Linked DNA regions of Sus scrofa. The protein of the gene in region 3 interacts with the protein of the main gene of each other region in a pairwise test. Links are inferred from orthologs where the notes say so. Each region holds a gene or a part of one and is shown on either strand. Other genes may lie near its edges.

What was found.
Region 1: the proteins of TFG (region 3) and MAPK1IP1L interact in binary tests that used the Homo sapiens proteins (3 or more experiments, as listed by UniProt). The two-hybrid records come from large-scale screens. The link is inferred for Sus scrofa from reciprocal best matches to the Homo sapiens genes TFG and MAPK1IP1L.
Region 2: the proteins of TFG (region 3) and PEF1 interact in binary tests that used the Homo sapiens proteins (3 or more experiments, as listed by UniProt). The two-hybrid records come from large-scale screens. The link is inferred for Sus scrofa from reciprocal best matches to the Homo sapiens genes TFG and PEF1.

Annotation. Positions count from the first base shown.
Region 1 is NC_010443.5:184,403,236-184,413,575, reverse strand, and holds part of MAPK1IP1L (MAPK-interacting and spindle-stabilizing protein-like), read right to left. Parts: intron 10,100-10,340; exon of another isoform or gene 9,974-10,099; intron 3,838-9,973; 5' UTR 3,834-3,837; coding exon 3,816-3,833; intron 3,172-3,815; coding exon 2,464-3,171; intron 1,450-2,463; coding exon of another isoform or gene 1,438-1,449; exon of another isoform or gene 1-1,437.
Region 2 is NC_010448.4:88,163,152-88,174,161, forward strand, and holds the start of PEF1 (peflin), read right to left. Parts: upstream 7,177-11,010; 5' UTR 7,096-7,176; coding exon 7,072-7,095; intron 1-7,071. UniProt on the Homo sapiens protein: Calcium-binding protein that acts as an adapter that bridges unrelated proteins or stabilizes weak protein-protein complexes in response to calcium.
Region 3 is NC_010455.5:158,286,979-158,296,475, forward strand, and holds the end of TFG (protein TFG), read right to left. Parts: intron 8,809-9,497; coding exon 8,710-8,808; intron 4,931-8,709; coding exon 4,548-4,930; 3' UTR 4,112-4,547; downstream 1-4,111. Other genes in the region: ABI3BP (target of Nesh-SH3), read left to right, coding at 1,152-1,274, 2,560-2,675. UniProt on the Homo sapiens protein: Plays a role in the normal dynamic function of the endoplasmic reticulum (ER) and its associated microtubules. Required for secretory cargo traffic from the endoplasmic reticulum to the Golgi apparatus.

The DNA.
Region 1 (10,340 bases), on a different chromosome or scaffold from region 3:
AAATAAGAGCTCCAGCATAAATCTCTCATATACTGCTCAAGAAATTCACATTTTAGTAACCCAATGGATACATTCAAAATTTCAAAATGTTATTTGACAAATAACATGGTCAGTTATATCCCAAATCTAAAAATGTGATTTTAAGGTAAGGTGCCAAAAAGCTACTTTGAAGGTTACAAACAACACTTATTTTTAAGTAACAGTCACAATGCTTTAAACTCAATTGCAGAGATCTACACTTTATTATTATTGTTAGAGCTAGAGAATAATTTTTAAGGATGGCACTTATTCTTCTACCTATTTACCTGTCAAAAAATACAGAACTGAACTGTTAGCCATAAGCACTTTACAAACAGATCCAGGAAACTATGCAATTGACAACGACATAGCTTAACCAGACTCTGAGAGACATACATATTTCAATTGCTCGTCTGTATGACGAAGGTTCTCTAAACATTAACATCTGTGTGTTTGTGACAGACCCCTAGAGTGTGCCAGTTTTCCGTATCAGGGATGAATCAAAGGCTGTGCTCCTTCTAAAGAACTGAGGAAGAGGGGGCTACAGGGAAGGTCCTGTAGAAGAGTGTCCTGTGGGAATGCAAATTATTTGTTACCATAAAGCAACTCTCAGGGTCTCCTCTACGTGTGGATTCAGATGAAGGAGAATTAGTTTCTTCCTTGAGCTCTTCCCAAAGTAATATGGACATCTCAAAATAATCTGTTCTAAGCAATACAAAGAGATCACCAATGCTCTCAGAATATAATTGACATACATGCTGGCCTGCATTAAGGAAAAAAGTTAGCTTCCATCAAGGGCAGATTTTAGAGTTGTTACAACCCATCTGGCTAAAAATAAAACAAATCAGGTGGAAGTCAAAATGAAGGAAAAGTTCTTACTAAAAGCTCAAGGATAAAAATGAACTCAACATCTGACAATAATTACCAATAGTATTAAAATCTATATCCAAAATATAACCTCAAGAGGACCAGGTTATTTATCCTATAGATAGAGCAGCTCAAGATGTTGAGAGGCATCATTTGTTTAAATTATGACAATGTGATTGTTTTCAAAGTGTGTTTATTTACGGGAAAAAGTGATTATATAAGTGTTCAGTTTCATAATTTAAACAAATCGAAAACTTCTTTTAAACAACTGTATCAAAGAGCTATTCAATATACTTATTAACTTTAACTTTCCATAAAAACCGAATAAAAATCACATTTGAATGATTTACTTTTACATTTTTATCTGATTATATCCATCAGATGTACTAAACATCCAAGCACAAGAGGCAGATATCTTCTGAGAGGTGCAAGAGGTGTTCTTTCATGAATGCCCTCTAAGAATAGTGAAACAGCAATTTTTATATATGCATTCATGTGCATATATATATGTACTTCAAAAAGCAAAGCGTCATCTCTTCGTCCATTGTTAACTTAATGGTAAGACTGCAACAGAAAAAAGAAAAAGTAAACTTCTAGATTTCGTAAATGGAGTTTACTAACTCCTTGCTGTGGCTTAAAATAAAATTTATTTATTGCTTAATAAATCCAAACGGCAAATCATCACTTATTCTGGCATACAATTTAGAAAAAAAATTTTTAAAGACTATATAATAGCAACTTAAACTAATGAAAAGAAGTTGAGGGCCCTTTAAGATTTTTTTCCATTACAATTCAAGTGGATGACTGATTAATATGGTTGGAGATATGATTCATTCTTTGTTAAGAATAAATAGATTTTTTTTCCCCCTAAGAATCTGGCTTGGCTCAGTTCACGGGGAAACAGGGTGCTTTTCTATTTGGTCATATGTTTGAGACAGGGTCCTCCACTAAGGTATCAACCCTATTCTAGCCTGGCTGACAGTAAAGCATATGGCATTATATATAACTGGCAAAGCAGAAGAGTGGTATAACCTGGAGCTCAACGCTGCTAAGGATCTAACAAAACCTTGACCGAGAAACACTACAGGCAGTTGTATCAAAGAAGGGCGACATCACACATTCACTGCCTTGGATTCTCTTTAAAAAAAAAAAACAAACTACCTCTATATCCAGCCAGAATGGCAGAGATTACTTTTATTGAACTTTGTGCTTTGCTATGATACTAGAAAACATTACTGAGAAATGTTATAATTTTAAAAAGTCCAATGAAATACATCTGAGTTTACCCGATGAATGCTATTTGAGGACATTGCTCACTACAGTACAGTCTTTGGGGAAGTTTCTTATTTTTAGTATCAGGAATGTGTAACTTGTGCTTTCATCCTTTTAAATGTTTTACCCAAAGTTCATCTGAAGCTTGAAATTTACTCTTACTTTATATACAGTTTTTTGGTTTTGTTTTTGTTTTTTTTAAAAAGGTTAAAAAGCTTTCTAATCTTCCATCCCAAACTGGAGACAATCTGTCATTTGTGCTTATGGGACTATTAGTACATGTTAAATAACAAATTAAACACTCACATGGGGGCCCCCAGGCATCGGTGGAGCACCAGAAGGTCCTGAAGGCACTTGAAAAGGATTACTGGGAGCAGGATAGAGTCCTGGTGAGGGATATGATCCTGCAGGGGCAGGATATGGCCCTGGTGGTCCCCAGGCTCCTGGGGGAACAGTGCCCCATGGAACAGGAGGTGCTGCCCCTGGTGCTTGGGGAGGAGGAGGAGCAGGATATGGCCCTGGAGCTGGATATGGCATATTAGGGGTAGGATACTGCCCTCCCATTCCTGGTGCCCAAGGTCCAGAAGACATGGATCCCCATGGACCTAAAGGACCAGCTGCAGCTGGATCTGTGGGTGCACCATATGGTCTTGGAAGCTCTGGAAAGGGCATATTTGGTGTAGGATAAGGCCCTGTGGGGCCAGGGCCTGGCACAGCTGGGGCTGGATAAGGACCACCAGGTGGGGGGCATGATGGTCCAGAAGGAGGAAAGGGTGCTGGGGGTCCTGGAGGTGGTCCAGTGGGAGGCACAGAGGGATACATTCCTGTTGGTGCTGGTCCAAAAGGCACAGTGGAGGGTGTTGCACTTGGTGGGAGTCCAGATGGCACAGAAGGTGGAGCACTTGGGTTATTCCAAGGGCTGGAACCTGGCCAGCCTTGAGGAGGTTGGCCAGGTTTTGTATTGCTCACAGCAGAGGTTTTGGCAGGGGAGTGATCAGGTAGTGCATCTGCCAACTGGAATACAAAACAAGCATGTCTTACTCATCTCATTCAGGGACAAGTAATGCCAAACATGAATATAAACCCATAAAGGTTTAGGGATTCTTCAAAAGCCAATTTAAAAACAACTTATTTAATACAAAATTTGAGGAGTTACCTTGAATTTCAGTTTTACAGTGCAAATTCCACAGAGAAACTCAAGTTTGCTAAATACAGCTGATCAGCATAGTGTGAGCTGAATCCTGGTTTTAGTTCAAATAAGTTATATACCCTTTCTGAGCTTTGGGTTTCCTCATTTTCAAAACAGTATCTTAGGGCTAACTTGATGCTTAACAAGATAACTCATGTAATGCACTTAATACAGTGCCTGGTATATAATTTTCAACAGATGTTGGCTATTATTAACATCAGGATAAGAGGACAGACTTAACACTTTAAGGAGTTATAAAGAAATAAACAGACAGAATGCATTTTCAAACACATTAAAGCTAAGTAAATTAAGGCAAATCATCTATCAAAATCACATGCCAAAAAAAAAAAAAAAAAAAAAATCCAAGGATCACAAAAGCTATTTCTCTTAAACTTATGGCCCACAATCAGGACCACGCCTTTTTTTCCTAAGAGCCAAAAACCTATGAAGAATAAATACATCAACTTACCGAAAATTCATCAGACATTTTCCTAAAACAAAACAAAAACAAAAACAAAAAAAAAGAAGGAATATTTCAAAACCAGTGTTTACCATTTCTTGTATATTCTTTAAGTAACTTTCTATCATTTTAACTTAAATGGAATCTTAATCACTTATAATTTCTATAATAGTTCATTCATACAGCTCTATGAACTTCATCCCTTTTTAATGGTTGCACATCACATAAAAGTGATCCATAATTCAGTTTACACTCAATTTGGTGGCAGTTTAGATTGTTCACATTTTGAATTGTTTTAAATAACAACACAATGAACATCTCTCAACACATCTTTCTGAGTCTATCATCAGGGAAATGTACTAGAGGTGAAATATATAATCGACAGGTAAGGTCATCTAAAATCCATCTCAAAAAGCCCATGCCAGTTTACACTATCCTTTTTATTCTTTTTGTTTGTTTGTTTTTAGGGCCACACCCTCGAAATCTGGAAGTTTCCAGGCTAGGGGTCGAATCATAGCTGTTGCCACCAGCCCACACCACAGCCAAGCCAAATCCAAGCCTCGTCTTTGACCTACACCACAACTCACGGCAATGCCGGATCCTTAACCTGCTGAGCAGAGACTAGGGACTGAGCCCTCATCCCTGTGGATCCTAGTTGGGTTCGTTAACCGCTGAACCACAAAGGGAACTCCTACACTATCTTTTTAAAATTCCCCTTCATCACCGGATGTTATTAAATTTGTAAGTCATTTTCAATTATGATAGGTTAAAAAAACTGGCATCTTGTTGTTTTAACTTACATAATTAGGTGGAAAGCAGAGCATCATTTATATTTAATACCTCATTTAGACTTCTTTTTCTGTGAATATGCTCATGGCTTTGGATTATGTTTTTCAATCTTTAAAACTCAAGTACAGGAGTTCCTGTCGTGGCAGTGGTTAACGAATCTGACTAGGAACCATGAGGTTGCGGGTTCGGTCCCTGCCCTTGCTCAGTGGGTTAAGGATCCAGTGTTGCCGTGAGCTGTGGTGTAGGTCACAGATGTGGCTCAGATCTGGTGTTGCTGTGGCTCTGGCGTAGGTTGGTGGCTACAGCTCCGATTCGACCCCTAGTCTGGGAACCTCCATATGCCGCGGGAGCGGCCCAAAGAAATAGCAAAAAGACAATAAATAAATAAATAAATAAAACTCAAGTACAGGAATTCCCATCATGGCTCAGTGGTTAACGACTCTGCCTAGGAACCATGAGGTTGCAGGTTTGACCCCTGTCCTTGCTCAGTGGGTTAAGGATCCAGAGTTGCTGTGGTGTAGGTCGCAGACGTGGCTCGGATCCTGCATTGCTGTGGCTCTGGTGTAGGCCGGCGGTTACAGCTCCGATTCGACCCTAGCCCGGGAACCTCCATATGCCACAGGAACGGCCCTAGAAAAGGCAAAAAGACAAAAACAAACAAACAAAAAAACCTCAAGTACAATTAACTCCCAATAAAATGCATGGATTAGTGTTCAGGTCAGTAAGCTCTGACAGTTGTAAATTCCCCTATAACCATCTGAGATATGGAACATTCCCCTCAGTCCACAAGGTTTGCACAGGCTACTTTCAAATCAATTCCCTCTTCCAACTCAACAGTCACTTTCTTAGTTTTTGCTTGTTCCTTGATTTCATAATAAATTAGACAGCAACATACTTTTTTTTTTACTTTGATCATTTTACTACTTAGTAGTACATCTTTTTTAGTGCTTTCTAACACATTAAGGAAATTAGCTGTCTGTCATTTATGAGAGAAAAAAAGTTCACCTATGCTTTCTAATAGTATTTATATGGTTTATCTTATTTAAAATCTTTCTTTCCAATAATAATTACTGAATAATCTATCTTTTCTCAATTGACATAACAAGCTACCTTTAACACATTCTACACCTGCTACTGACAACAAATACTGAATATATATCATGGAACAGGTACCGTTAAGTGTGTTAGGTATATAATCTCATTTAGCAGCTGCAGATTCTATCATCATACCCAGCTGACAGCTGTAGAAAAGGAAGCTTAGCAAGTTAACTTGTTTAAGGTCACAGAGCTAGGGACAAGCAGAGAAGCGACTTAAACGCAAGTATAATCCAGAGCCAAGGCTCTTAGCCACCAGACTGTAGAGCCCCCATCATTTCCCATAGGTATTGTGAGCTTTATTCTTTTCTAATTCACACTATAACATGTCATCTTATTAGGGCAGCTTTATATTTTTAACAGATTTTTATGACCTAGTATTGCTGTCTTTCCAGATTTTCCTGAAAATTCTCATGCTTATTTTTTCCAGATTATTTTGTTTAAAAAAAGAATCTGTTAGCGTTCTAGTTGAAACTGCATTAAATTTACAGATTAATTTAGGGGACATTTGATACATTTAAAATATAAAATATTCTCATTCAAGAATAAGGTATGTCTTCCTAGTCCCAACATTATCATTTATTACTCAGTGGTTTTTAAAATCAAGTCTCCTACAAATTTTTTTGAGTCAAATTTCTAAATGGTATACTTTCTCTTTTTTTCTTTTTTCTTTTTAGGACAGTACCCACCCTTTGGAAGTTCCAGGCTAGGGGCTGAACAGGAGCTGCAGGCCTCGCCACAGCCAGGCAACACCAGATTGCCTTGTCTGTGACCTACACCACAACTCATGGCAACGCCAGATCCTTAACCCACTGACAGAGGTCAGGGATGGAACCCTGAGTACTAGTTGGGTTCGTAAGCTGCTGAGCCACAACAGGAACTCCTCTTTTGATCTCTATGGATCTTTAAAAGATGTATAGGAGTTTCCATTGTGGCTCAGCAGTAATGAATCTGACTAGTATCCATGAGGGCTTGGGTTCAATCCCTGGCCCTGCTCAGTGGGTTAAGGACCCAGTGCCATGAGCTGCAGCACAGGCTGAAGATTTGGCTTGGGTCCCGTGTTGCTGTGGGTGTAGTGTAGGCCGGCAGCTATAGTTCCTATTTGACCCTAGTCTGGTAACTTCCATATGTCATTGATGCAGCCCTAAAAAGAAAGAAAGAAGGAAGGAAAGGAAGAGGAAGGAAGGAAGGAAGAAAGAAAGATGTATAGACCTCTGATGTTTCTTTTGGTATACTTTTTCCTATGGTTACAAGTTGGCTCCTCCATTATATTTTCTTATTGGTTGTTCATATATGGGAAAAGGCTTTTAAATTTTAGTGTGTTACTTCTGTAAGGAGTGACATTATTGAATTATTTTATTTGAGTCAGTTGATTCTCTCAAATCTGCAGGTAAAGAATTATGCCATTAGCAAAAAATAATTTTACCTGCTCTTTCTAATATTTACACTTCATTCCTCTTTTGCATAAACTAGGACTTAACAATGAAATGCTAGGAGTTCTGTCATGGCTCAATAGAAGTGAATCTGACTAGTAACCATGAGGATTCGGGTTCGATCCCTGGCCTTACTCAGTGGGTTGAGGATCTGGCATTGCCGTGAGCTGTGGTATAGGTTTCAGACACAGCTAGGATCCTGCGTTGTTGTGGCTGTGGTGTAGGCAGGCAGCTGCTGCGCTCTGATTCGACCCCTAGCCTGGGGACTTCGATGTGCCATGGGTGAGGCCCTAAAAAGACAAAAGACAAAAAATGATGAAATGTTAAATAGTGATAATGTAAGCACAGCAGTCTTCTTCTCAACTCTCTTGGCAATGCTTCTAATGTTTAAGTATAATTCTCATTTGTAGATTTAAGATTTTAAAAAAATTACAGTAAGCAAGTTTCTTATGCCTATGTTGCTAGATTTATTTATTCCTATTTTGCTGGTTAAAAAAAAGGGACACTAAATTTCTTTAGAAGATTTTCTTACCATCTAATGAGTTAATCTCAGTTTTTCTCCTTTGACCTATCAATACACAATAGATTATATATATGTGTGTACACACACACACATTTATACCCACAAGCACATATATATATAGCTTAATAGTGAGCCATTCTTACATTCACAAAGTTTTATTAAATATGATTTGGTTATCATGGAGAATGATAGAGAAAATAAACTCAAAGTCCACCGTAACAACTGCTATAACCTTGCCCTTAATTCATATGTTAAAAAACACATCACGAATTATAGCAAATACAATTATTCACTCATTCCTATTAAGTTTTGTTTTATGCTAAAATGTCCCATCACACAATAGTAAATTTTTAGGACTAACTTCCGAAGAAAGTTTATCAGTGCACAATTTTAAAGTCTACATAAGACTAATAACATTGTTTTCAAACAGGGAGAACCCCTCTGAAACAGAAAATTGTTCTGTATCAAAGTTCATATTACTTCTGAAAGAGAAAACAACAAAGCAACACATTCAATTTCACATGGTCTTTGAGTTCAGGTTTTCAGAATTACTCTTTCTTTCTTAGTTTTTGAAAAACTATAGTTAATTAATCATAGCATTACATTAAAATATTATTCCATTAATGAAATAATGTTAAACTGAGTCTTGCTTCCAAAAATTTACATTCAAAATCAAATCCTGGAAGATGGAGGAAATAATAGGCCTGACTAAAGGGATTAGAAACAGGCTACTTCCTGTTCTAAGGCATTGCACAGTAAAGCGACCTGCTCTCCATGCCTAGAATAAAGTGTTCATATTAATTGAAAACATCCCAATTTACTCTTTGGGGAATACTTTATCATAAAAAGGTTTAAAAAATAGTGTTGGTGATCCAATACGAGAAGAACTGAAGAATGTAAAAAAACAAAAAACAAAAACCTTAGATCTTCTAAAAAACAATTCCAAAACATATGGATTATGCCAACTAAGATGAGGCCAATGTAACCTTGAACTAGGGAAAAAAAAAAAAACTGTTTAAAATCAAGGGAAGATCTTCGTTTTTCTTTTTGGAATAATCTATAGCTATTACTTCCACAATTTTTCATTAACACTTTATGGCAGTATACATCATGTGAAAAATAATCATTGTATTTTATGAAGAGTAGGAGTAATTTTAAACTAGAGTACAACATTTCTTTTACATGCACTAGGAAAAGGAAAACATTTCTGTAATGCCTGTGGCCTTTAAAGTAAAAACAGTAATTTATGGGGAGGTTTTAAAAAGTTGAACTCCAGGAGTTCCGTTTGTGGCTCAGCAGTTAACGAACCTGACTAGCATCCATGAAGATGTGGGTTCGATCCCTGGCCTCACTCAGTGGGTTAAGGATCCAGTGTTGTCATGAGCTGTGGTACTGGTTGCAGACGAGGCTCAGATCTGGTGTGGCTGCGGTACAGGCCAGTGGCTATAGCTCTGATTTGACCCTTAGCCTGGGAACTTCCATATGCTGAAGGTGCGGCCCTAAAAAGCAAAAAAAGAAAAAAAAAAAGAAAAAAGTTGAACTCCATAAATTACTATTCACTGCTGTATAAGGAACATTTCAAAGGGTTTCAAACTGTGGTGGAGTCGGTAACAGTATGGAGCCATACTGTTATGAAACCTGGACATCAATCCTCTTGTCTGAATCTGTTGACAAAGGCAAGCTTTTTAACCAGAGACCATTTTCTCATCAGCAAAACAGTTGTAATTCTTGACCACATGTTAGTAAAATATCTAATAATCTGTAACATGTTATAAAGAAGTAAGATATTTATTAAGAATCACTAAGAGAGAGCAGGATTTTTGCACTGTTTTGTTTAGTATGGGGACGAGAGGATAATGGTAATATAGTGTACTGAGAAAAAATATATATATATATTTTTACTATTTTAGGGCCACACCCATGGCATATGGAGGTTCCCAGGCTAGGGGTCAAATTGGAGCTACAGCTGCCGGCCCACCCCACAACCACAGCAATGAAGGATCCAAGCTGGTCTGTGACCTATACCACAGTTCATGGCAATGCCAGATTCTTAACCTGCTGAGCGAGGCCAGGGATTGAACCCACAATCTCATGGTTCCTAGTCAGATTTGTTTCTGTTGCTCTACAACAGGAACTTTCGTGGAAATGTATTTTTTGAATTAGCATATCTGAAAGTTGTGTTAGCTTTTATCAGATAAGCTCTGTATTTAGGCAACTCCAGAAATTAGGGATTTGCAACATTTCAGACACTTTAAGTTACTTAAAAACATATAATTAAAAAATAATATTTCCAGCAACCTCACATCAGCCATATTTTCTACATTCAGATACTTATTGGAACATATGTGCCAGGTACTGTGTTGGGCCTTGGGGAAATGAACATGGAATAAAGGCTTGAAGTGCTGCTGGTCTGTCAGAGATCTAGCATCTAAACAGAAGCTACCTGACCGCAGGTAAGCACAGGGCACTATGGGGGTACCCTGAAGAGCTCCCAAAGGAGTCAAGGCAAGGGTATCAGGGGAGGAATCCTGAGGAGTGGTGCCTGTGCAGTCTGGAAGAACAATGAGGAAAGAGCTGGGAGTAGGGGATGGTGGGACAGGCTCTAGGGAGAGGAGAAGTCTGCAAAAGCTGCAAGAGATGAAAGAGAGATGTGGGAAGGACATGTAAGCAGTTCAGAATGGTGGGAATATAGAG
Region 2 (11,010 bases), on a different chromosome or scaffold from region 3:
GCTGAGTTGGAGGTAGTGGCAGAGTTAGACCACTCCCCAGACCCCAGTCCAGTGACCCCCACCACCTGCTACTACAGTGCTCTTTCCCTAAGCGATAGGGCACAGGACCCCAGGGCAGGAAGAAGAGGGGATGGGGACTCTGCAGGGCCTGGGCACACACAAAGGACAGGCGGACCCCAGGCCAGGAAGCGGCTGCTCCACAAGAAGTCCTGTGAGCAAAGCCATAAACCGTTCCTGGCTTCGGGTGCGGGTAGAGCAGCCTTCCTGAGAAACACCCCCACACCAGCCAAGCTGGTGCTGCCAGGCAGGTCTTCTGACAGCGGCGCTATTCCAGTCCAGGGGTCGGGTGCAGCCTGGCGGCAACAGCTAAGCCCTTTCCTTTCTGCCCTGCATTAAAGCCCTCATCTGTACAGTTTACAAAGTACTTTCACATACACACAAACCCTACTGGCAAAATCCTGCCAACGATTCTTTAACAGAAAAAAAAAGAAAGTATTAGTAGGCCTATTTTCAGATGAAGAAACTGAGGTGCACAACTGTTAAAAGACTTCATTCACTCAGCAAGCATTTACAGAGCAACAATATTATGTCAGGCTCTGTGCTGGGCAGGGAGCAATGGGCATAAAACTAAGCAGGGCCTGGCCTTGATAATTATGATAGTCTGATAATTATGGCCAGATAATTATGATATAGTCTAGTCGATGTCATCAGAAAAGTCTACTTAAATGCTATCAAAAAAGGTTTGGGCAGAGGAATTGGTTCTGTCTGTCAAAGGATAAATGAGCCATGGAATGAACAAATGCAGGCAGGGGGTCAAGGAAGGCTTCCTGGAGGAGGCAGGTGTACTATCGGAGCTGGCATCAAAGGATGCACAGCCGGTCTCCAAAAGGAAGGCAGTAAAGGACATTCCAGATAGAAGGGAAAAGACAGGAGCACAGACTTATGAGCGAGCACAGGGTGGTCGGGAGCGGGCTCAAAGGCAGGAGGGCACACAGTGTGAACTCAGAAGGGCAGGCTCCGTGTGTACTCCTTGTCCAGTCACCTCTCCTGCTGCAGTCCACTGAGCTGGTGGGTAACTGCGGCTTAGAGCAGTTTCTGTTATACAACAGTGAGCTCCCCGGGGGCAGACACTGGGCCTCATTCATCACGGGACCCCAGGGTCCAGCACACTGCCTGGCACCTGCAGGTCTCCACAAGAATGTTAGCAAATGAATATCACTCTAAAGATGTGGAGCTTTTTGCTGGGGGAAACAGAGCACCATACAAGGGTTTCCAACAGGGAAGGAACGTGATCAGAGCCTTGTTTAGAGAACTAAGCGGCAGCAGCAGCGGTGTGGAGATGAGCTGGCGGGGGAGGCGGTGGCCCAGGTGCTGGACAGGCAGGGCATGAACCAGACAGCAGACTCAGAGAGACCGGGATGGATTCCGAAGCTATTTCAGAGATAGACTAGACATGACTTGGCAACTAATTAGGTTAGGGAAGCGATGGAGGGGGCAGTGAGGGAAGTGTTCAGAATGACTCAGGTTTCTAGCTTGCACCAGAAGATGAAGAAAGTGAAAGCACCAGAAGCCAGGCGGGGAGCACAGTTCCCAGCATCACTGAGTTGTTAGCAAAGGTCTGGACCAGAATCCTGACTCCATGCTCTTGTATAGTGCTCCATGCCATGCTGCCCCCCCTTTAAGAGCTTTTCCAAAGGCATTTCAGGCTGATAAATACAAGACTGTTTAAAAAAAAAAAAAAAAAGAGTTCAGTAATCATGGGTTTCCAAAATATCACAGAAACCTAATCCTAGGTCTTTGCAAACATTTGATAAATTTGGGTAGGGGGAAGGGCAATTAACATTTTACTAAGGCCGTCTTTGATTCTCAGTCCTATGAGTGCTATGATTCCCATTTTATAGGTAAGAGAATTAAGATGCAGAGTTGAATCATGTGCCTGTGATGAACCAGACTCCAAACAGGGTCTGCATGACTCCACCACTCTACCCTCTTCTTCAAGTTCATTCAGTAAATGAAGGGGCGTCTACCATGTGACTTGCCAGGGACCATCCTAAATGGATGTGTCAAACCCGATGGACTTCTACAGTGGACAGGGTTGATGTGAGAAGGGCGGGATTAGATGATCTTTCACAGTTTTCAAGCCCAGAAATCAGGGAAACTCAGAAGAATCTTACTCTGTTTTCACCTTAGCACCCAGATCCAATTCGAGAGCCACAGTATTTAAGAGATCCCAAAGATCTCCCAGCCCAACCTCGCAGGGGATGATGGACTCTCTATAGCACCATCCGGAATCTCTGCTTTCCTCCAATGGTGGGGAGCTCACTCATTCCCAAATGATCTACTCAGAAAGTCCTACACTTCTATCTTTCCTTCTTTCTTTTTTTTTTTTTTTTTTTTTTTTTTGGTCTTTTTAGGGCCACACCTCGGCATATGGAAGTTCCCAGGCTAGGGGTCAAATTGGAGCTACAGCTGCTGGCCTACACCACAGCCACAGCAACACTGGATCCAAGCCATGTCTGCAACCTATACCACAGCTCACATCTACACCGGATCCTTAACCTACTGAGCGGGGCCAGGGATGGAACCTGCATCCTCATGGATACTAGTCGGGTTTGCTACCACTGAGCCACGACAGAACTCCAGAAGCTCCTACATTTTCTTTTGGCTCTGAGGGCTCAGTCGTCTACCCCCAAGATCCCTGGGAGGCTCAGAGGTGTCAAAGGTTGGTCCACGGCGAGTTCTGATGGGGAAGAGTAGTCTGTGTTGCAATGACAAGCCTGTTGGTTCAGAGCTACCCCCCAGCCCACTGGAGGAGGACAGAGCCCATGCTAAGGGGTTAAACAATCACAAGACGACAGAAGGAGTGGCTTGTGCCAGCAGACCCTCCTAAAATATTTAAAGGCCAGAACCCTGCAGTCAATAAACAGTGAGCCAAGAACTGTCCCAAGACTTCAATTACCACCTCTCCGCTGACACTCGCTGATACTTTCTCTCCAGCTCCATCTCTCCTGAGCCACAGGCCCTCATACCCAACAACCTTCCAGACCTTCCTTCCGAATCTCCTCCTCCTCCGTGTTCCCATCGCAGTGAAGGGAAACCCTGGTGCCTTTGTGGACACCTTTTCATTCTTCCCCTCTGTGACCTCAATTAGGTACCAAGTTTTCTCAATTCACCTCCCAGCTCCACGTTCACCACATCACTGCTCTGGCTCACCTAGACTTCTTCAATAGCTTTGAAACTAGTCTCCCTGCCTCGTCTATCCTGCTTCAACCCATCCTCACAGTGCCCCGTGGTCACAGCCCCAAAGCACGAAAGTGAGAACACTCTTCAAGCACTCCATCCTTTAGGGTGAAGTCCACACTCAAAAAGGCACACAGGCCCTTTAAGATCTGGTCCTTACCTACCTTTCTGGTTTCATTTCTTACCCTTCCCCCTCTTGCTTCACTACAACTAGACTCATCTCCTTAAATTCTTCCAAAACACACCTTTCTCACTTGCTTCCTGGTCTTTGTGAATACCACTCCTTCTGCTAGAATACTGGCCTTTCTTCACCCAGCTAACTCTTAATGGAGATTCTGTTTTTGGCTTAAATGTCACCTCCATCAAGAAGCCTTCCTCCCACCCAAGACTCAGTTAAGTACCCTCCTGTCCTGGCCTGACACTTAGTCCCATTTTATACATATGACACTGATTCTACAACTTACATATCTACATTACTCTTCCGCTTGGAATGTTAACTATATGTCCAAATGCCATACCAAGCCCTTAACATGGATTATCTCATTTGATCTTTACAGTAACCCTTGAGGTGGTACTCTTATGACCCATTTTTAAAAAGGGGAACCCAAGACTCAGACTTCTGTAAGAAATTTCTGCAAGAAAATGGCAGAGCAGGTATTTGAAGCCAAATCTCTCTGGCTGCAAAAAACCAGGCTCTCAAGCATTGAAATCTATCAGGCTGGCTCCCCCACAGGACCAAAGGGTCCTTGAGTTCTACTCCTCCAACCCCTAGTCTATGCTTGAGGACCCTGGGGCAGAAGGCAGCAGAAAATTACAGGAGTGCTGACTCCTAACAGTAGGCTGGAATCCTCTAGGACTAGGTACTGGGTGGAAGGGAAGTGATGCTGACTGAGCCTATGGATGCTTTCAAACAATCCACTTCCTTTCTTGGAACACAGTGGACCAGGAATTGGATAGGAGGACAAAGGTACAATGAGGGTGTGTGTGGGGGGGGGCATGTTTCTTCTTCTACTCAAGACACATTTCTCTCGGTACTCCTTTTCAATATTTCACTGAGCATGAGCCCAGGCGGCATGGCATGGTAATAGCAATCACAGTAGCAAAGCTAGGCCACCCCACACTGGCAAGCACTGTGTATCAGCAATGTGCCAGGCTCCTTACAAGCCTTATCATCTTCTTTTATTTCATCTTTTTAGCCCTATGAGGTATTATTCCTTCCTTTTTGCATGTGAGTTAACTGAGGCTCAGAGCCCTTAGATGATCTATTCAAGGGTGTTAACTAACAAATAGCAGAATTAGGATTCTAGCCCAGTTCTGTCTGTCTAATCTGGAAGTTCATGTTCTAAATTTCTATGCTGCTGCTTCTAGGATGCATACAAATTACCTCCAAAAGCTTATTAAAATGTAGACACTTGGCTCCTTCCTGGGTGCACAACAGGTCTGAGGTAGAACCCCCAAATGTGGTGTTTTTAAACAACCTCCTAGGCGATTTTGATGCAGGCCATGCACTGAGAAACAAAGCACCATGGCAATGTCCTCCCAAACAATGTTCCCTACATTGTCACCGAAAAATGACGAGACTTGGGGTTCCGTCCGGGCACAGCAGAAACGAATCTGACTAGGAACCATGAGGTTGTAGGTTCGATCCCTGGCCTCTTTCAGTGGGTTAAGGATCTGGTGTTGCCGTGAGCTGTGGTGAAGGTCACAGACACGGCTCAGATCTGGCATTGCTATGGCTGTGGCGTAGGCCAGCACCTATAGCTCCAATTAGACCCCTAGCATGAGACTTAAAAGGGCCGAGGAGTTCCCTAGTGACTAATGGTTAAGGATTCACTGCTATGGCTCAGGTTGGAGCCCTAGCCCCAGAACTTTTGTTAGTCTAGCCAAAACAAAAAAAAAAAACGGGGGTGGGTTCCACGGTTAAAAAATTTTAAGAAACACTGTATATTCTATCCCTCTCTGCCAGATTTACGTCTATTAACAAATTAAGAATTCTGAGATGCTCTGTGGTGAACAAACTTATTAAGCTGTTATACCTAATACCGAAGAATTTCCCAAACTTATTTTACCACAGAATACTCCTTTACCAGCAGTACTTCTTAACATCTCACAAGACTCAGCAAATGGAACTTGCTTGGGAAACACTGCTAGGTTATACTTCCTTCTGACCCCAGCCCATGCTGGCTTCTCTATTTCCCACCACTGCTGGGAATGCGATGAAAGGAGCTCTAAGTTCTAGCACTGGCCTCGCCCCCTGCCCCACTTGCTAATGTGTGACCTTAGGCAAGTCGCTTAACTTTTGGGGGCTCATTCCTCAGCTATAAATTGGGGGAATAATCCTTGCCAGACTGCTTTCAGGGCCTTCATGATTTGAGATCATGGATGTCCAAACACTGTGCGCAAAAACCGTACAGGGCTGCACTCTCTCAGACAGTTCTTGCCACATCTTTTGGTATGTGATTATACTCAGTCCAGCATTTAGTAATAAGCCATGTGACCTCATTTTCCAATTGTGCCTTCCTGGGTTTTATTTCCTAAAATAGCATGATCTTGGGTAACTCAGGAGCCCTCTCTGAGCTTCATTTCCCTCCTTTTAAAATGAAGGGACTCTTTGAGTTCTGTTGTGGCTCAGCAGTTAATGAACCTGACTAGCAACCATGAGGACGAAGGTTCGATCCCTGGCCTCTCTCAGTGGGTTAAGGACCCAGCTTTGTTGAGCTGTGGTGCAGGTCCCAGACGTGGACCAGATCCAACATGGATGGCTGTGGCTGTGGCGTAAGCCAGTGCCTGTAGCTCTGATTCGACCCCTAGCCTGGGACCTTCCATGTGCCACGGGTACAGCCCTAAACAGACCGAAAAATAAATAAATAAATAAAATGAAGAGACTCTTTTGAGGGTCCTCCCAACACTGACCTTCTAGGAATCTAATAAAAATCAAAATACTAAAAGGTAACACCTGTTACACTCTTAGTAGTACCAAATGCTTTACAAGCATCATTTCATTATTCTTCATACCAGCTCTATGAAGTAGACATTATTTGGCCCTGTTTTACAGAGGAGGAAACTTAAGCTCAAAAAGGCAAAGTACTTTGCTCAAAGACTCAAAACTATTTAAGGGATGGAGCCAAGGTGTGAATCTTCCTCTGACTCCAAACTGCACTTCATCACTCTACCACTCCTGTCATCCACCAACGGATTCTGGCCACAGAATCACCCTGCTGTAGTGTTCTTGGCAGGATCAAATGGGCTGGCAAGTAGGTAAGAGGCATTTGCTGACAGCCCTGGGTTCTGCTACCTAACTCCCTGGTGACTAAATTCCATGTCCTCTCTGGGTTTCACTTTTCCTGTGTGTCAAATGTGGAGGTACTGGACTAACTCAGTAGTCAAACAAGCTCATTCATACTAAAACCTACTAAACCACAGTTTCTCCTGATTATTCAGAGAATAACCAGTACGTCAGGGGTGTATTTTAATCTGACGCCCCAAAGGATACCGACAGAACCAGTGCTCTGAACGTTCCGGTGACGTTGATGACCCCGCCCGGAGCCCCAGAGGGAGCGCAGGCCAAGCGCAGCCTGACTCCGTGGGGTCTAGGAGCCCCAAATCTTCGCGTGCACGACGTCACAGGGGGCGCGACACGACCTCCCCAACGTGCAGTCCTGCGTGACGTGAGCCAGGTGCGACTGACCATCCCGTTTCCCTTCTCTCCTGCGCGACACCGCCCCCTGCGTGGGAAAAGCGCGGAGGATGCAGGGAGAAAGCGAAGCTGGGGGTCCTGGCCAGGACTTGGCGAGACTTCTACCTATATTGGCCCACCTCTTACACACTCACCTGCCCGTATGGATAGCTGGCCATGGCGACTCTGACGTCACACGTCGGCGGGGGGCGGGGCTTCCCAGTCTCAAATCCGCCTCCTCCTGGGCCTGGGGGTGTGCCCTATTCTGATTGGATGTACCTGACTATCAATCCTGGGCGCAAAGGTCGACGGAAGTGACGCTAGAGGGAGGTGGTCAGGTGCCTCCCAAGGAGATGGAGGAGCTGAGGCTCCTATGTCAGTTTCCGGAATCATGTTTCCTGTACTGGCGCAGTAGTTCTTAAATTTTCTGCCCTAGAGTAGGCCCCAGAACTGGTCAGTCCCACGTATTTAAAGAGAAATTTAGGTGGAGTGTTACAGTGGTGGCCATGTTTTAACCTGGCAGATGGGACGCATGGTAGTGGCGTAGTTGCTGTCGTCACTCCAAGTTTTCCCCGGAGAAAGGCCCGGGCGGTTGCCGTGGCAACAGGGAACAGACCCAAGCTTCCAGGGAAGGCTAGAGGCTACGGGCGATAAGTACTTCGTTCTAATGTCAAGACACCACGTGCCAGTTAGTAGCTTTGGAGTGGGATCTATGGTATTTGGTGAGGCTATTCCAAAGCGGCAGAGTGGGAGGGAAATTAGATCTAGGGCCTCTTCTTTGATAAGTGGGGAAGCTGAGGTCCGAAGAAGCAATGACTTGTCCTAGTCACTGTGGGTTAGAGGCAGAGGGTAGCCTAGAACTGGGGTCAATGGATGCCACATTGCTCATCAGGGAAGTCTTGACTCGTCTCGAAGGTAGATAAAATTCTAGTTACTAAGTGACCTCATAGTCATGTACTTGCCTCTTGGTGGTTCAGGCATTCCACCTTTTTGCATGCTTATTTGACTAATTTGTTAGTTCTTCCATGTAGACACAGATTGTGTCTGGTTTTGCTTGTCATAATATCCACAGGGCCTCTATATTTTTTTATTTTTTATTTTTATTTTTTTGTCTTTTTGCTATTTCTTGGGCCGCTCACGCGGCATATGGAGGTTCCCAGGCTAGGGGTCCAATCGGAGCTGTAGCCACCGGCCTACGCAAGAGCCACAGCAATGTGGGATCCGAGCCTCGTCTGCGACCTACACCACAGCTCACGGCAACGCCGGATCCTTAACCCACTGAGCAAGGCCAGGGACCGAACCCGCAACCTCATGGTTCCCAGTTGGATTCGTTAACCACTGCGCCACGACGGGAACTCCTTTTTTTAAAATAAATTCATTAATAGTGTTACAAGGTGTTGTCCATTCCAGCCCATCTATCTAACTATCTAGCCAGGCACTTTCCAGAATTACAGTGCTGATCATGCTACTAGCCCACTGAAAAGTCTGCAGTGGCTCCTCTACCTGCCCAGCCCCTTCATTATGGCACCACAGGCCTTTCACAGTCTGGCCCAACCTGACCTTTGCAGTCTTATCCAATAGCCACTGACTGCTGTGCTGTACTGCTATGTTCAGTTCTACCACCCAGCCCACTTTCTCTGAAATGGGGATCTTGATTTTACCACTTTCTAACTTCATGACCTTGGGCAAGTTAATTAACTTCTGAGTCTTAGTTTCCTCAGCTGTCAGAAACCAATATGTAAAGAGATCTGAAAAATGAGCTTATGGTACCTGCTTATGCCCAGACTTACTTTCACAGGACGAGCAGCCCTCCCATCTCCAGTCCTTCAAAGCTCAGTTCCAATCCCATCCTCCACCTAATCCTCCCACATTCCCCTAGCTCCAGAATTAGTCACTCTGTTGCCTGCCTCCCTTTGCAGTTGGTACTGTGACTGTGCTATATTCTAGCCTATCTTGTATAAGAGTTCTCTTTGATATTTCCCCCAACATTCCTCTCCTTTATCTCAGAAAATTCACCCATCTCTCAGGCCAGAAACTAGGATCATTCTTGTGGGGCTTCTATTTCTATGCAAGCTCTCCCATCTCTGTGTGCTCTAGTTCAAAAACTTCAGCAAGCTTGTCCTATCACCCTAGTCCAAGACATCATCATCTGTGGCCTGGATCATGACCATAGCATCCTGATTGATGTTCCTGCTTTCACTCTTTCCTGCACATTCTACTCTGTAGGGCAGCCAGAGTGATTGTCTTCAGTGTAAATCATATTATGTCATTCCTGGGCTTAAACTCCTCCAGAGACTTCCAGTAACTCTTATAAGAAAATCTAGGAGTTCCCTGGTAGCCTAGCAGTTAAGAGCTCAATGTTGTCACTGCTGTGGCTGTGGTTACCACTGTGGCTTGGGTTCCATCCCTGGCCAGGGAACTTTTGTATACTCCAGGCACAGCCAAAAAAAAAAAAAAAAAAAAAAAGTAAATAAATAAATAAAAGTTACACACTTTAAGTATTAAAAAAAGAAAATTAAATTCACCCTCATGACCTTCACGTCTCTCTGTAACCAAGACCATGTCTGCATCTCCAGCCTTACTTGCTGCCACTGTAGTTCTCAGGTGACTCCAGCTGTGCTGGTCTGGTCTCTACCCTTGGAACACACCAAACTCATTCTCACCTCTAGGTTTTGGATTAGCTCTTTTTAATAATTTTTTTTTTATGTTTTGCTTTTTAGGGCCACACCTGTGGCATATGGAAGTTCCCAGGCTAGGGGTCCAATCAGCGCTGTAGCAGCCGACCTATCCCACAGCCATAGCAACCTGGGATCTAACTGCATCTGTGACCTACACAACAACTCACAGCAACGCCAGATCCTTAACCCACTGAGCGGGGCCAGAGATCAAACCCACATCTTCATGGACACTAGTCAGGTTCATTTCTGCTGAGCCACAACGGGAACTGCAGTTAGCTCTTTATTATCTGGCATGCTCTTCGTTTGGCACTTCACTGGCTACATCCTCCTTGCCATCCAGGCCTCTGTTCAGATATCACCTCCTGGAGGGGAACATTAAAGTAGCATTGCCTCTCCACACGTTCTAGTCATTTATGGTTATCATTATGTCTCATTTTTTCATAGCACTTGCCATTGCTTGAATTGTCCCTTTAAAGTGTCCATGTATTGTAGGATTGTCCTTTTCTTATTCACTCCTCTATCCCCAGTGCCTAGAACAGTGCCTGGCATGAGTTCAATAAGTATTAGTAGTTAGTTGTTAGTAGTAATAGTAGTAGTAGTGATAGTAGTAGTATCCTGTATTGAATGCTTACTAGGTGCCAAACGTTGTGCTAAGTACAATGTGTTGTTTCATTTTCACCACAATCTTTTGAGATGGATACTCTTACCCATTTATAATGAGGAGCTGAGGCTGAGAGAGGCTAAGTGTCTTCCCCGCTATCAAAAGGAAATGAAGGGAGTTCCCATTGTGGCTCAGTGGAAACAAATCCGACTAGTGTCCTTGAGGATGCAGGTTGGATCCCTGGCCTCACTCCGTGGGTTAAGGATCTGGTGATGCTGTGAGCTGTGGCGTAGGTCACAGATTCAACTCGGATCCCACGTTGCTGTGGCTGTGGTGTAGGCCAGTGACTCCGATTCCACCCCTAGCCTGGAAACTTCCATATGCCATGAGCCCCAAAAAGACCAAAAAAAGGCGGGGGTGGGGGGAGGATGGAGAAGGCAGGATTTGAAGCCAGGTCCACATCTGTTAACTAATCAGTGCCTAGTAGTTAGCTGGTCTTACCTTTTTTGCCTTTGTAAACCCACCCCACCCCACCCCACCACACACAATCCAAAGCAATGGTGGAAATGAATTACAAAATCTCAGAAAGAAAGAAGTCCTATAGTCTGGGCTGAAAGTCAAGGGGTATTTTCTGGGAGAGAGAACAGTGACACCTGGCCGGCAAACTGGGATAATGTGAGGCTTGCTCATTTTATTCCACAAATGTATTAACCTACAGAGTTCCCACCACTTGCCTGGCTCTGTTCTAGGTGTCGGGGATTAAGCCATGAGGTTCACGCCCCAGCCCCCTCTGCTCAGCAAAGGGCTCTTACAAG
Region 3 (9,497 bases):
CCAAACACTCTCTGACCTAAACCACAGCAACATATTCTCAGATCCACCTCTTAGAGTAATGACAGTAAAAACAAAAATAAACAAATGGGACCTAATCAAACTTAAGTTTCTGCACAGCAAAGGAAACCCTAAACAAAACGAAAAGACAACCCACAGAATGGGAGAAAATCTTTGCAAATGAATCAACTGACAAGGGATTCATCTCCAAAATTTATAAACACCTCCTACAGATCAATACCAAAAAAACAACCCCATCCAAAAATGGGCAGATCTAAACAGACAGTTCTCCAAAAAAGACATACAGATGGCAAAAAAACACATGAAAAGATGTTCAACATCACTCATTATTAGAGAAATGCAAAATGAACACCAATATGAGGCACCACCTTACACCAGCCAGAATGGCCAGCATCAAAAAGTCTACAAACAACAAGTGCTGGAGAAGGTGTGGAGAAAAAGGAACCCTAGTACACTGTTGGTGGGAATGTAAATTGGTGCAACCACTGTGGAAAGCAGTATGGAGATTCCTTAGAAAACTAAAAATAGAACTACCATTTGATCCAGCAGTCCCACTCCTGGGCATCTACCCAGAGAAAACCAAAAAACTCAAGAAGACACATGTACTCCAATGTTCAGTGCAGCACTATTTTCAATAGCCAAGACATGGAAACAACCTCAATGTCCATTGACAGAGGAGTGGATCAAGAAGAGGTGGTACATATTATATACACAATGGAATATTGCTCAGCCATCAAAAGGAACGAAATACCAGCATTTTTAGCAACATGGATGGACCTAGAGATTATCATGCTAAGTGAAGTCAGCCATACAATGAGACACCAACATCAAATGCTTTCACTGACATGTGGCATCTGAAAAAAGGACAGACTGAACTTCTTTGCAGAACAGATGCTGACTCACAGACTTTGAAAAACTTATGGTCTCCAAAGGAGACAGTTTGGGGGGTGGGAGGATGTGCTTGAGTTGTGGGATGGAAATCGTATGAAATTGGACTGTGATGATCATTGTACAACTACAAATGTAATAAATTCATTGAGTAATAAAATAAAAATCTGAAAAAAATTTATTTCAGAGTTGCCTCTATCAAAGAAAGTAACACTTCATGGACCTTTTAATTTCTTTTTTTTCAGGAAAATTTTATAACATAGGAGATCAGAGAGGCCATGGAGAAGATCACTGCCAGTTTGTGGACTCATTTTTAGATGGACGCACAGGACAGCAACTCTCTTCTGACCAGTTACCCACCAAAGAAGGTATGTTTTCTGAGCCTCCTCATAACCAGGAGGCTCTCATAAATTAACCCAAAAAGCATTCAAGCTGAGGAAGTAATCACTTTAAAATAATTCTGTAGTACACAACTTTATCTGCCTAGAAAGACTTCACAAAAGACCTTAATATAAAGACTTTAATAGAAGTTTCTCAAGTTTCCTCCCATTCCTTAAGCTGCTGTTCCTTAGAGCCAATGGAAATTAAACAGATTTACATAAATGCATTCTACTTCAGGAAAACCTAAATTTGCAATGTCAGCTATAAAAGTGCAGCATTTCCCAAACTTAAATCATTCATGTATTACCTTTATAGTTTTTGTCACACTGAGCACACAGTGTGACAGTTTTCTTTATTCCTTTAAAAAAGTTTTTTAAAGACAGCTTTACTACTTTGATAGAAGGAAAAAAAATATTATTTGCCTTATAAACAAACACAATTAAAACAGTTCTGCTGAGAAATGACTAACCACTGCAACTCGCTAAAGGCACATTAGCACCAAGCTGCTTAATGAGGATTGAAAGGACTGAAAACTGACTTAGCCCCCCTGCCCAGGCAGGGTAGGAGAGGATAAGTTAAATATCCATATTACTCAGGAATTACCAAGAGAGTTTATTTAAATACTTAAAATTATTTGATAAGTCTTTTGAGCAACACATTTTGTTCCCTAGTACTAAAAATACCAGGCATAGTAAAAGATGACTCAGTGAGATCTGTGTACTCATTAAGAGGAAGTAGAAACTGTTGCCTCAGAGGAAATGGATATAAAATATACTGTAAATTACACCTATTTCCATTTTACAGTCACAGCAAAAGCTTTTAATCATTTAGTGTAGGAAGAAAGATTTCACCAAAGTTTAATTCTTAGAAATTTAACAGTCTTAGAACTACCTTTCTTTTGTTTCCTAACATGTTAGTATAACACATCTTTACCAGGTCACTTCTTCAGAGCCCACCACTAGTCTGTGTACACAAAGTATACTTTCACGTACTGTGTGTACTGAACTTGGTCAATGACAAAACAAAAACTCTCCCAAGTCCTGCCTCTTGTCAGCTTTCTCTCTCAAACACTGCCCAGCATCCTATCCTGATATATTGCCAGCCCTTACTACTTCAGCAAAGACAGCAGTACCTCTGTTGCTATTCACTTTCTAAAATACTCTGTTCTACCTAGCATAAACTTTAGGCATTCGGTGACACCCTTCAATCTATGAGCAGTGAGGACAAAAATAAAACATAGCAGCTATTAAAATTAATTATTTTCCCTCTTAGGCTATTTCAGAGCAGTTCGCCAGGAACCTGTCCAATTCGGAGAAATTGGCGGTCACACCCAAATTAATTACGTCCAGTGGTATGAATGTGGGACCACAATTCCTGGAAAATGGTAGATGCTACAATCATGTTCAAAAGTGCCTTCTGTTTCAACATGGCAAAAAATAATTGGAAACAGTATGATATTTGTCACATGCATTTAAAGCTCTTATGTTTACTATGTATAAAAGTTTAAAATCTAATTAATAGCAGTATTAGATGTTTATTAGAAAGATTGCTAAGAATATTTATCAGGTTTTACAAAGTCATTTTAAAAAAGCAAGATATTGACATTAACAGAATAACATTTTTTGGGGAAGCTGGCTCCCTTTTCATGGTATTTTAAGAGATCATTGTATATTATTTATCACATTGTTGTAATGATGTTTTGAGATACTTTTATAACAAAATTAACATCAAAAAACTAATATACTTGTTAAAATATTTACTTTTATTGTGTATTCTTCCTACTGGTGAGTTAATTCCATAAATCTCTACTTAGTTTAACTTATTAGGTCAAATTATCTTCAGCATATAAATCTGGGAGGAAAAAAGTCCTAATATTTACTTGTTTATTTAAACTTCAACTTTTCAGCAACAGCTGAGTATCTCTTCTGAAGCGTTTAAATATAGCCACTCATGCTAATAATATTTCCTTAAATATCTGCAAGTTATGTGATTAAAATTTTGTTTAAATCAGTAAATTCATATTAGCTAAAAATGGAATTGAGAATTTGATATAGCATTTCAAGACACCTATTTTGTTCTTTCTCTACCCCGAAATATGTTAGTCTGAATTTTCTTTGTAAAACTATCCCTTTAAGCAGCTGTGTTCCTGCTGTTTTTAATTCAAATCAAGCTTTATGCAGAAACTGTAAAGTCTAAAGCACAAAAGGATAATGCATGATGAAATCCCTATTATTTTATAGGGTATTTACTATATTTTTAACACAGAAAATCTCTAGGAATGAATGTTACCAAGGCTGTTTTCATAATTCTATCTAACTCAACTCGTAATGAAAATCTCATTTTAATTTACAAAAGTAGTGTTCCACTTCATTTGGGGAGAGAGATGGGAATGTTGCATTGTTGCCCTCATTCTTAAAGGAACTTTCTTTGCATCCTTTCAACATGCTTCAATTTTATCAATACTACATTTTATGTTTTTCAAACAAGTATTAACTCTGCAATAAAGAGATGTAGTTTTTTTTTAAGACTGAGTTATCGCTGAATGGTTCACCTCTGTAAGGAAAATTCTAAGTTAGGATCCTCTCTTTGTATTTTTTAATACAGTATCTATTGTGTTTATGTATAATGCTAATCTATCTTTCCGTGAAATCCACTTTCAAGTTTCATTGGTTTAAGCCAAAGGACAAAATTCAACAGGACTGTGCATTTCTGAATAGAAAGGCATAAGATAAAATGTCTACATTTCAAGACCAAAACATCAATTTCTATTGCTTTTTTTCTCATGTCTATATAGTGTCAATGACTAAATTAAATTACAAGACCATTAATGGATTCAATCATCTTTATTAACCTATCAGTGTTACATTTTATACATAATATCTAGTTGTCTTTTCAAAGGAATCTACTTTAGTACATCATGTTAATAGTAAAAAGCCAAGTAAGATGACTGAACTTCAACCTAGCATTTTAATATCCTCTGGACAAGGCAAGCTAGAAAGTCAATCACTTTGCACACATTTAAGAGTAGTGTTCCAAAGTAACTAGGAAGCTGCTACACTTATTTTAAGCAAGGGAGGAAAAGAACTTTCATTTTGGTCTTTTTTTTTTTCCCAGCAAATTATACTCTCAATTAACAGCAACAATAAAAAATGCTCTGCTTTTTAAATTTCTGAACTTCAATACAAATTAAAATAGTAGTATTGGAGTCTTTTGGGAGGCAAAGAGCTAGCAGCTACAATCATCAGTGTAACTGAGCCTCTTTATCGGTAACCTGGTCCAGGTTGGGTATAGCCCTGACCAAAGGGAGGACGGCTACGTGCATAAGGGTTAGACCCACTTGGAAGAGGGGTCATGGTACTTCCAGGAGGTGGAGTAAAACCTGGTCTGGGCTGATAGGCCCCGGGTTGGCTTGGAGCCATTCCAGGTTGTGAGGCAGGGGCCACAGTGTAATTAGTAGGCTGGGAAGTCTGGGTAGTGTAAGTCTGTGGAGGGTAACTGCTCGCCTGGTACTGCTGTGGTGGTTGAGCAGGCATCTGCTGAGGCTGGCCAGAAAAGGCAGGAGCCGGTGCCTGGGAAGTTGGTTGCTGGCCATATCCCTGGAACTGCTGAGGTTGTTGGGGTCCGGTCTGCTGACTATAGCCTGCTGAAAAGGCAAAACATGCAGATCTTATTTTTTCTTTTGGTAAACATTTTTCAGAGAATTAGTCTTACGGTTATGGACCAAAAATGATGAGAAATTTAACAAACTTAATCCTGAGTACTTTTGTAACAAGTAGAGTAGTAGATTCCATATTTCAAGACCACATAGTATCAAAGAAGTGTTTTCCAGATAATTTCTTAAATCCTCTAAAACTAAAACTACTACATATATTCTTCTACTGCAACTTCTTCTAAACTATATAATCCCTGAGAGCAAGTGCCTATTCTAGCATAACTCCCAGTATATACAGTAGATGCTCAAATGATAAGTGTAGAAATTAATTCAAAAGCTAGTTATTAACCTGGTTTTGAGGGGAAGCCTTAAAACAGTACCAAATAAAAAAAACATTGTAGAGAATATTAAATGAAACAATAGTGCTACAAACATCTTACTGTGCTAATGAGATGCTTTAAGGTTTATTCACACTATAAAAACTAAGCCATTTAAGAATAAACATTAAGTGCCCATTTTCACAATTCTTAAAATCTTTTTTGCCTTTATAATTCAAACTTCTGGCTTAGCAGTAACAAGGTAACACATGAAAGCATATCATATTGCCCCACAAAAAGCAACATCTATATTCATTAGTTACTAGGATGTAAAATTTTGTAAAAGAAAAGGTCTGCTTCACTAAAAACTTTTATCTCTACCATGAAACACACCTGCAGCTACTTGCAATGAAACCTCTCCATTGACTGGAATCCTGTCAGCATTAAATACCAGATACATAAGAAAATTATTAAAATATGTACAACCCTGCATTAAAAAAAATAAAAAGGATTGAATGAATTTGAGTATATTCTGAACTCACCTTGAACCTGGGTTCAAAATTTACTCATGAAAGAAAGCTTTTTGACATAGTCCATGAATAAAACTGGAAAAGGTCACAGAGGGAAACTGCCAAACCAGCAGAGTGTCAAAGATGGTCCAATGTTACCACCACCAAGCAGAGTATTTAGTTGACTAGTTCCATATCTCCCAAATTCAAGTTAAAAGGACTAGCAGGATCAGAAATACAAAGATAATAATTTGAAAAGAACTAAACTTTACTCAGTGAAGACCCTGACTAAAATCATTAAGAGCAAGCTTAAATTTTAACAAGTAAATTAAATATCTAATGCATTTTACTCACGGTAATGTCTAAATACGAAACCAAAACTTTGAATGTCATACAATTTCTTCTATCCTCTACATAAATGTAAAGTGTTTTACTGTCTAAATTTTTGGAGAAACAGAAGGACTCAGCTTTTATACTGAAAATGCCTATTCAACTTAAGATCGTAACTGAAATCTAAACCAGCTTTTTAATAGAATCTTGGGACAACAATATCCTTAATTATTTCTCAAGAGAAGGGATAAACTCTATGGGCATATGATGTTGTTTCATTAGCAACCTACTAGTGTTTGATCAAAATGTGGCAATACCTCTATTATGTATACACTCTCCCTCCCACTGCCATCCTCTCCTTTGAAAAACAAAATGAATCAGTAACTTTGGTAAAAATGACAAGAAATGGTAAGAAATGGAAATTCTGTGGTTTTTTAAATAAATGAGTATTACAGGACAAGGAATCATATGGTCCACAAAGCCTCAAGTACTTACTATATAGCTTTTTATGGCAGAAAAGTCTGTTAATCCCTGGTCAAGGGTGGAGAACACAGAATGAGATAGCTAAGTAATCAACTGCAAAGTTGAGTGTACTGAATTCTGGTCTAGTTTCCCCAATGAATGGCATCAATACATCACAACTCTTTGAACCTTGGTTCCCAAATTCATAAAATGAGTGGATGGGCCAAGATCAGTGGCTCCCCAACCCTGGCTGCACTTTAGAATGACCTATAAAGTTTTTAAAGTATCAAAGCCCAAGTCCCACCCCTGACAAATGAAACAAGATCTCTGGGAGTAGAGCCCAGGCACCTATAACTTTTAAAACACACCTCTCCAGGTGATTCTAAAGCACAGCAAAGGTTGAAATTATCTGGATTAGATACCTAGCTCTTTTCCACTCAGATATCTATTATTTCTACAAATTGTGTAATTTGTAACACTGATTTTTCTTTAAAGGTCTATATCCTAAGCATAAACTCTCCCCAGTATTATAGTCCAAGTTAAAATTTCCACATAGTTTATATAATAAAAACTATTACCTACATGTTAAATCACTCTACAACAAATTAATCTGAATAAATTGCTGTTTGTATTAAAATATGTCCAACTCTGATGGTAGAACTTTATGATCTAGTTCAGAGGGTTGGCAAACATTTTTCTGTTAAAAGACTAGGTAGTAAATATTCTTGGGGGCTATGTGGTCTCTGAAACTTTTAACCCCAAAATTTATGCATTTTCATAATGGGTTTGAAGCATATTAAGAAAAAAAAAATAGAACACATGCTTGCTTTAATAGTTGTACCCTGTCATTTTTTATTGAGGAAAATAATCAGGCATTTTCAAGTCAGAGTTCCTTAGACTCACTGATGGCAGCTGTCTACTACATGGAGCTTTAATTTCAGATTTTTTTTTTTTTTTTTGTCTTTTTGTTGTTGTTGTTGTTGCTATTTCTTGGGCCGCTCCCGCGGCATATGGAGGTTCCCAGGCTAGGGGTTGAATCGGAGCTGTAGCCACCGGCCTACGCCAGAGCCACAGCAACGCGGGATCCGAGCCGCGTCTGCGACCTACACCACAGCTCACGGCAACGCCGGATCATTAACCCACTGAGCAAGGCCAGGGACCGAACCCGCAACCTCATGGTTCCTAGTCGGATTCGTTAACCACTGCGCCACGACGGGAACTCCTAATTTCAGATTTTTTGATGATACTTGAGTTGGTATTTATATTTAATGAGAATGTGTACAAACTCCTTTTAAACCAACACTCTAGATTTATACCTGGGCTCCAGTGGTTGTACTTACTAGTTATGATTACTGACCCCCATATAAGTTGCTTAATCTTTCCATACCTGAAATAGGGATTGCTCATGAGGTTGACTTTTCTCCCATTATTTACTGCCTTTTCTTTGCTCATTTTTGTATTGCAGAGTTAATCTAATTTTTAAAATTACAGTTGAAATTTTGATACTTAAATCTTTGACTGTAAACTCAGAGTTAAACACAAATTCTCAGATTTAACAAATGTAAAAACTGCCTGAATCTTAACCACAATGTTCAAAGCTATACCAAAGAGATTATTATGTTCTTAGTTGCCCGAATTATGTCTTACACATTTCTACTTTTATGGTCTGTTTCTGGTATTCCTACATACTTTGGGGGGATTTAAAAACCCATGTAGCTTAATTTGGTTCTTATTTAATAAGATCACCTCTTTCCATGTATGAGGGAACTGTGAATATTTTTTATAAGTATTAAGAGTACACTGGCATAATTAAAGTATTACATAAAAGGGAGGAAAAATACTGCATTTTTACAGCTTTAAGTCACCTAGCAATAAGTTGATCAAATCAGTAGGAGCGAGCTATGTATTAAAAAATTTTATACAAGTTATTAAAGAATCCTATGATTCTAAGTTTTACCTATCCACTGACAAACTGAAATGGTGACTTACAGTAAAATTTTTACGCAAAATATTTACAAATAAATAAAACAAATGTTATTTTCCCCAATAAATAAATACTTAATACCTACTATAACAGACAGGTCAAGGGATCAGGAGGAAAGAGTTAAAGTTTAATGAGTACAAAAACTGCTCCCTCCGGCTGCCCGCTCACCTGAATACTGAATACCGTACTGCTGTGGCGGCTGGGGCGGCGCCTGTGGCTGCTGAGTGCCATAGCCAGCCTGCTGCGGGTACTGCTGGTACATCTGACCTGAAACAGACAGGACGAGGAAAAGAGGTATGTTTAATTCAGCAGAAGAGAAATATTTTTAAGGCACATTTAATTCTCTCCCTATTCAAACACATGAACACACTGAGTACCAAGACACAACAACATGTCTGTTCCCCTTTCAATGTCTACGAAGAAGAGAAGAATGAACAATTTAGTAAGTGTGGCTACTCTGTTGTGGATTAACTGCAGAGAACTCTAATAAGGCAGCAAATAGCAGTAGCAATTACTTCAGAAATTCCAGAAAAACAAATGTTTTCAAACCCAACAGCCAATAGATATGTACTACTACTATTCAGTAAAGATCAAGTGAGTCAAAAATCAAAAAATAAAAACCTGAGAAAAGGGATAAAAACCACTAATAGCTCCTAATCTTTCCCAAAATACTATCTTTGTCATCTAAAGGTTTAAACTTTTGTTACCATATGAACGGACTCTGTGGTATAGCAAAGATGCGAATCTCTTGTACCAGAACTCAAAAATAGGTCTGGCATTTAAGAACAGTTTGTGTTTCCATCATATGAGTGTGCTAGCCAATCATGTGGAACATGACAAAGTCTAAATGCACTTTTTAAAAACAGCTGGGGATGAGTTCTTGGAAATAGGAGTCCTATTTCAGGGTCACAGTTCCTATGCACACTTATTACCTGTGATTTCCAAACAAGTAAAGA